Nothobranchius furzeri: one gene and its partner. The main gene of each other region encodes a partner of the protein of the gene in region 2 in a complex. Links are inferred from orthologs where the notes say so. Each region holds a gene or a part of one and is shown on either strand. Other genes may lie near its edges.

Region 1 (3,824 bases), on a different chromosome or scaffold from region 2:
ATGGATGCATGAAATACTTCTTATAACAAGACTAAACTACAAAAACATAATTGTGTTTAAACATCTTTGGTATGTTCTTACTGTGTTGCTTTTCTAACTGCATTGTTGGTTCTTTTTTAAAACACAGAAAATCTTTCTTTTTTACCTTGCTGCAGACAGTTTCGTTCGCGGCTGCAAACTTCCTCAGAGCTGACGCTGATGGTGGCGTCACTTCCTACTCCGTTTATCCGCTCTCCCCTCCCCGATGATGCAGCAAAGTAAAAAAGAAACCTTTTCTGTGTTTTAAAAAAGAACCAACAATGCAATAATTGTGTTTATGTAAGAAAACAGGAAAACTACAGCAAAATAAGTGACTTTGAATACACAAAAACCAACCCTTTTGCATAAATGAATATTTTGGTAAATATGCCTTTTCTTGTTTCAGGTAGGGTGAAGACACATTAAACCCAAGACCAGCTTTGAATTAGTCAGAAGAAAAGAATCGGAGCACAGTTCGAGACTACTGAGGCTCGTCCCTTAATTTCCTTGCCTTTATTTCCTTCTCTTTTTTTGACAAAGCCCTCCCCCATTCCTCTGACTTTAAGACTCCTTCCACACCACACCCATGACCCCCAATGCGCAGACATGAGGTCAAGCTCCAAAGATCACAGAGAGAAGCCAGACGAAAGACAGAGACCTAAAATCCTGCTTTCCCATCAAAACTAGGCCAAAAACCTCAAGCCATCCCACCAGCTCCAGACCCCCTCCTTTAGTCTGCTTGTGTGTGGAGGAGGCAGTGAGCACTCTTGCAGAAACATCAGCCCAGGGAAATTCAAATGAGGAAGAAATGGTGAGGGACACAGAGAAAGAGAGAGAGGGGAGCACAATAGTGAGAAAATGGGATAAAAGAATGAGATGGAAGAGCATTAGGTAGGAGGGAGGAGGAGGGAGCTGGAGAGGTTGCTGAGGCTGCAGGTTAAGATAATGTGTAGATCTGAAGAGATTTGCAGGGAACATTTTTATTCCATTTCTGATTACTCCCATCTCTCCCTCCCACCCTCTCTCTCTTGTTTGTTTTTGATTTTAACATTATGACTGTTGGCCTCCACGTGGATGTACACGTGCATGTTGATTAGACCTGGAATACTTCAGAAACACACATGCATGCACGTGCAAACACACACACACACTTAAAGATGCATCAGAGAGGCAAATGGCTGGGTAGTGTCAGAAATGCTAAGGGCTTACAAGTTGTGAAAATGCCGACACAGATGCATTAACAGGCAGAATATTGTAGCTGTAACTGGTCCTTATCAATGTGCAGCAGGTAGACTGAATGTTCTCAAGCATTTGAATCAAACAAAATTGGTCTCTGGTTTCATTCTCCTGGCTACACATGTGCAAAAATACAAATAAATCCACAAATTTTAAAACACAAATGAACAAACACACCTGTGCTGTAGTCAGACCCTGCTTCCAGGTTGAGTGAGATGGACTGGTCTCCATCCTGCATCCCTTGACCAAGGATCATCCAGTTCTCTAGATCATCTGAACCCTCTGAGTCTGATGAATCAGTGTCTGATTCAGATTCTGAAGTGTCTGAGCTGCTGGAAATCACCGTCACTGGGACTCCAAGACTGCTTTTCCTAATCTGGATTTCCTAAATGGCCAAACAAGAAAGCATTGGATTAAAAAGTTGTTTTCTGTTTACTTACTGAACTGATCAAACCAACACCTAGTTACAAGTAAAATGTGACATATAGCACAAGTCATCTTGTGTAAAGAGAACAGATTTTTCGTGAGACACTCAATAGCAAAATACATGAACTATGCTTTTTTTTAAATACTTGACTGAGTCTTCCCAAGTACTGTTAGGAGTACTAAGAAATGCTAGTAGACTTCTTATTATTGATGTCACGGTGAGTCTAAAGCCTCTTTTACACAGTGTGGAAGAGATGTGGACTGGACAAGCTGCGGATCATGTGTGGAAAGTCTCCACAACTTTGCTCCTGAGTTCCTGTGATAACAACAAGATGTATCGTGAGGAGCTGCTTATCATATTCTGTGACCTGATATCCCTGTCATTAATAACAAAAAATGAAGCAGACAGAATGATGCAACATGAGCTTGTTTAGAAAAAAAGCAGATAGCCCTCTGGCTCATGTAATATCTTCAACTTCATGACTATCTAAAACCCAAAATCAGAAATATCCTGCATCCCAATCTTCTCTGCAATGCAACGCTTGGATTGGACTCAATGATTTTCGTTCTTTGCAGAAGCCGCATGGATCCTGACCTTGTTTGGTACACACTCAGTGATAAGCCTATTTTATACTTCTCCATCTGTTTTGGTACGGATCTACGTTCTTCTCTGTTGGTACGGAGACACACAATGCCATTATCCGTTGGTGCAAGGGTTCTCCAACAGGCATGCAAGGACGGACGAAGTCAAGCTTACTTGCCTGACAGACAGTAAGAGCGGTTACATGCGCACTGACTGACGTCTAAGTCGATCCGGTTCGATCTTATTGTAATAAGCTGGGGGTCTTTATCCTATTTTTCATGCGCATAAGAAAACCGGCTTCTCAAATCAAGTGTGTTCCACTCCGGTACAGTAGGTGGCGACACGCCCCGTTTCATGTCAGCATTCTACCGGTTAGACTGGTGGGAGTGAAGCAGACAAAAATGAAACAGGATATGCACAACAGCTGAAGGGATGCACAACAACAACGCTGCAGCAAAGTTTCTATGGAATATACTGTGCTGTTTTATTGTGTTACACATGTTGCTTTGTGACAATGGTCTTGTCAGAAGACCGCTTACGCAGTCTCATCACTTCTGTGATGCGAGCGTACTACCAGTTTACTTTGGCTGACCCATTTACATGCGGAATGTACTTGGATTGCTAACGCATTATCTGGGTGCTTCAACTCGATTAAAACCAGTTCACCTTCAACCAGACTAAAACATTTACATGCATTTTAAAAAACTTATGCAAGTCTTTTGAGGGTATTACTTCGGTTTTCTGATGCACATGTAAACGCACTGACTGAGCAGCTTGAAGAATACCTTGCGGAAAAACTCTGAAAATAGGAACGATTATTCACCCGTGAAATGGAAAAAAACCTGAAGAAGTTTGTAATTACCTAGCTGTTTACAGTCGCACTTGAGACCAATGAGAGACCTTAAGGTAGAAGCAACAAGCTATATCCTGCAACAAAAAAGTTGTTATTGAAATCTGGGACCCCATGTTGGCCATGGAAGGCCAAATTATCTCAAACTCTTTTGAACATGTTTTTTAGTTTGTTTCAGTGATTTTTATCCGATCACATTTTTTTGTGGTTCATTCACAGAGAAAATAAAGCTCGTTTTTACCTTTGCTGACATGTTTCGACGTCTACTGCTGCCCTCATCAGAGCAACTTCTGAAGTTGGTGGCGTTTCTTCCATTTATCTGTGGGTAGCAGATGACTATCTCACCTTCTATTGCCCGCCCCTTCTCCGTTGATCAAAAAAGCTACTTAGATAAGGAACATGAACAGAAATGAAGGCCCACTCATGGAACTTGATCAACCAACACACAGGAAAGGCGCAGGCAGTAGTAGGTGATATCATCCTCTGCTGCCCGCAGATAAACGGAAATGACGCCACCAGGGCTGAACGATTAATTGCATATGCAATTAAATAGCGATGTGACAAAAGGAGACTTTTCTAATCGCAAAGGCAGCGATCTGACTGGAAAGTGATTAGCACAGTGCTAATATACATGGAAAAACCCATAGGGATGCTAATGCTAATATCGTTGATTACTTTCTTACAAATTACGAACTAGGAACGTGCCAATTG
Region 2 (3,824 bases):
TTCTGGTCGTCGGAAGCAGCAAACTGGAATGAGGAGCGGCCAATATAATCATAAAAATATAACACAAAAAATAGCAAAAATACATAATTTTTCCAAGATGCGAGCATCTGGCTGTGATTAAATCTTTACAAAACAGCAAATTATTTTTATCATGATTTTTATTTTAGCAGCAGCCTCTCAAAAACACACAATGTGTTCCCATTTGTTGCTGCATGTAAGAAAAGAGCCAAACAGAACAAGATTGAGAGAAAATGTCTCTTAGCACCAAAAAGGTGATTTTCACAGACCTTTCTGGTTTTCTGTTACTTAAATTCTCTTTCAGTTTCTTCTTTCTAAATTCGTTATTATAATTACACTGGTGTGAAAAACTATTTGCCGCTTTCCTGATTTCTTGTTCTTTTGCATGTTTGTCACACAAAATGTTTCTGATCATCAAACACATGTAACCATTAGTCAAAGATAACACAAGTAAACACAAAATGCAGTTTTGAAATGATGGATTTTATTATTTAGGGAGAGAACAAAATACAAACCTACATGGCCCTGTGTGAAAAAGTAATTGCCCCCTGAACCTAATAACTGGTTGGGCCTCCCTTAGCAGCAATAACTGCAATCAAGCGTTTGCGATAACTTGCTACGAGTCTTTTACAGCGCTCTGGAGGAATTTTGGCCCACTCATCTTTGCAGAATTGTTGTAATTCAGCTTTATTTGAGGGTTTTCTAGCATGAACCGCCTTTTTAAGGTCATGCCATAGCATCTCAGTAGGATTCAGGTCAGGACATTGACTAGGCCACTCCAACGTCTTCATTTTGTTGTTCTTCAGCCATTCAGAGGTGGATTTGCTGGTGTGTTTTGGGTCCTTGTCCTGCTGCAGCACCCAAGATGGCTTCAGCTTTAGTTGACCAACAGATGGCCGGACATTCTCCTTCAGGATGTTTTGGTAGACAGTAGAATTCATGGTTCCATTTATAACAGCAAGCCTTCCAGTTCCTGAAGCAGCAACACAACCCCAGACCATCACACTACCACCACCATATTTTACTGTTGGTATGATGCTCTTTGTCTGAAATGCTGTGTTACTTCTACGCCAGATGGAACGGGACATTTGCCTTCCAGAAAGTTCAACTTTTGTCTCATCAGTCCACGAGGCATTTTCCCACAAGTCTTGGCAATCATTGAGATGTTTCTTAGCTAAACTGAGACGAGCCCTAATGTTCTTTTTGCTTAACAGTGGTTTGCGTCTTGGAAATCGGCCATGCAGGCCATTTTTGCCTAGTCTCTTTCTTATGGTGGAGTCGTGAACACTGACCTTAATGGAGGCAAGTGAGGCCTGCAGTTGTCCTGGGGTCTTTTGTGACCTCTCGGATGAGTTGCCTCTGCGATCTTGGGGTAATTTTGGTCGGCCGCCCACTCCTGGGAAGGTTCACCACTGTTCCATGTTGTTGCCATTTGTGGATAATGGCTCTCACTGTGGTTCGCTGGAGTCCCAAAGCTTTAGCAATGGCTTTATAACCTTTACCAGACTGATAGATCTCAATTACTTTTGTTCTCATTTGTTCTTGAATTTCTTTGGATCTTGGCCTGATGTCTAGCTTTTGAGGTGTTTTTGGTCTACTTCTCTGTGTCAGGCAGCTCATATTTAAGTGATTTCTTGATTGAAACAGGTGTGGCAGTAATCAGGCTTGGGGGTGGCTACAGAAATTGAACTCAGGTGTGAAACACCACAGTTGGGTTATTTTTGAACAAGAGGGGCAATTACTTTTTCACACAGGGCAATGTAGGCTTGGATTTTGTTCTCTCCCTAAATAATAAAATCCATCATTTCAAAACTGCATTTTGTGTTTACTTGTGTTATCTTTGACTAACGGTTAAATGTGTTTGATCATCAGAAACATTTTGTGTGACAAACATGCAAAAGAACAAGAAATCAGGATGGGGCAAATAGTTTTTCACACCACTGTAGGTAATTCTTGCATCAGCTTTAGTCGGAAACTAAAACCAAAAGCAAAAGAATAAAAACAATACATAGAAATTGATAAGGATTGTTGCATAGCAATGCTGAAGCAGACAGTACCTTTCCTCCTTTGGGTCCTGCAGACGGAGTGCTGGCCGCGTGGTTCTGCGTGCGATGATTCCCGACCACTGCAGGCTTCTCTCTGTGAGAACTGGAGCTTCGGCCTGACTGCTGCTTAGCCGTTTTACACGGCGTTCCATCGGAGTCCTGGAAGAAGGCAACGACACGTACGTGAAGATTATTTCTGTATTTAAATGTGTTTTAACATTCTCGGTCCGTAGCTGCAGGGACTCACCGCGTCGCTGGAAGACGTAAAAGACGGCGTCAGAGGAGAAGACGAGGGAGAGGAGGGCAGGGAGAGGGGAGGAGAGGACAGGTTTGAGGAAGACTTGCTGTGGGGAGCCGGCGTATGAACCACCACCACATCCTCGTTGTCCGGAACGTTGTTGTTGCGCTCGTCGAGCTGCTTAGACCCGAATAACGTCACGTCGTTCCCTGCGGGAGCAGAGGAAAGATGAGTGTGTGTGTGTGTGTGTGTGTGTGTGTGTGTGTGTGTGTGTGTGTGTGTGTGTGTGTGTGTGTGTGTGTGTGTGTGTGTGTGTGTGTGTGTGTGTGTGTGTGTGTGTGTGTGTGTGTGTGTGTGTGTGTGTGTGTTTAGCTGTAGCTCAGAGAGAGAAGAACATACTGTTAAGTGAGTCATTCTGAGAGGGGGTCCCCCAGTTCTTTCGGATCCAATCCCTGTACTCGTCCACTTCCTGAGTCACCCGGATTATCCGGCCGAGGATACTTCAGCAGAAGAGGAAAGGCTGTTACTCACATGTTTATTTGTAGATGAATTCATTAGCTTTCCCAGCTGTTCCGACAGGTTCAGCTCCTTACCTCTCGTTCTCGTTGTTGGGGTAGTACTTGGCCATGGGTGACACTGCGTGGCTGAGGACCATGTAGGCGTAGTCGAACGCCTGCTTCACCTGCATGGCGCCGTACGAGCTCCTGCCAACATCGTTTTCTATCCGACACAAGGCAGTAAAAAAAAGTGAAATCGTGACACCTTTAGAGGGAATTCTGACTCCCGCCCTCTTCATACCGGGCTGCAGAGGGTCCTCAATGTAGAGCATGGAGGGCCTGTATCCGTCCATCATGCTTTTCTGAACCTCGTCTTTGGCGACGTAGGAGCCGCCATCTTTTATCCTGATGCCCGTTTTCAGGTAGTTGAAGTTCCGGCCGTAGAGCTCGAAGAACTCAATCAGCAGAACTCCGTAGTTGATGTTGGGACTGGACACGTCCTCCCTGTAGTGAAGCTGAGGAACAGAAGGACTCAAGCAAATAAAATTTCCATAATGTGGATGAGAATTAAAGCTCAGCTCTGTCGGAAATTTAAATCGGAACGACTTTTTTCTTATTCTAAACAAGAAAGAAACAGACAGACCTGCAGGAAGCTCACGGCCATGAGAAAGAGACTGTAGGAACCAATTCCACCAGTGAAAACCTCGTTTAGGTCTCTCTGCAGGAGGAACTGCTTCAGCACCAGGACCAGGTAAGGCAACACGGGGTATTTCTACAGGTGAGGTTAAGAATTACACACATGAAAAAATATGAACCCTGTAACAGATAACCTGCTGTTGAGTGGTTATTTTAAGGCCGGATTCTACATGTGTGGTTTGTTGCGTTTCCCCGAAGCTCTGAGCTAATTCAGTTGTTTTCTATGCGCAGCCGCTTCTTTCTAATTGGGAGGAGCCTGATCTGAACTCGAGTGGGGTTTCGTTATTGGACTGCTGTGCAAGCCGCAGTTCGGCCATAACGAACACCATG

What was found.
Region 1: tent4b (region 2) and zcchc7 share a complex: the UniProt entries of both Homo sapiens proteins name them as parts of the nucleolar TRAMP-like complex. The link is inferred for Nothobranchius furzeri from reciprocal best matches to the Homo sapiens genes TENT4B and ZCCHC7.

Annotation. Positions count from the first base shown.
Region 1 is NC_091747.1:79,080,851-79,084,674, forward strand, and holds part of zcchc7 (zinc finger CCHC domain-containing protein 7), read right to left. Parts: intron 1,640-3,824; coding exon 1,432-1,639; intron 1-1,431.
Region 2 is NC_091749.1:70,469,311-70,473,134, reverse strand, and holds part of tent4b (terminal nucleotidyltransferase 4B), read right to left. Parts: intron 3,571-3,824; coding exon 3,442-3,570; intron 3,314-3,441; coding exon 3,100-3,313; intron 3,022-3,099; coding exon 2,895-3,021; intron 2,802-2,894; coding exon 2,701-2,801; intron 2,511-2,700; coding exon 2,311-2,510; intron 2,223-2,310; coding exon 2,076-2,222; intron 1-2,075. UniProt on the Homo sapiens protein: Terminal nucleotidyltransferase that catalyzes preferentially the transfer of ATP and GTP on RNA 3' poly(A) tail creating a heterogeneous 3' poly(A) tail leading to mRNAs stabilization by protecting mRNAs from active deadenylation.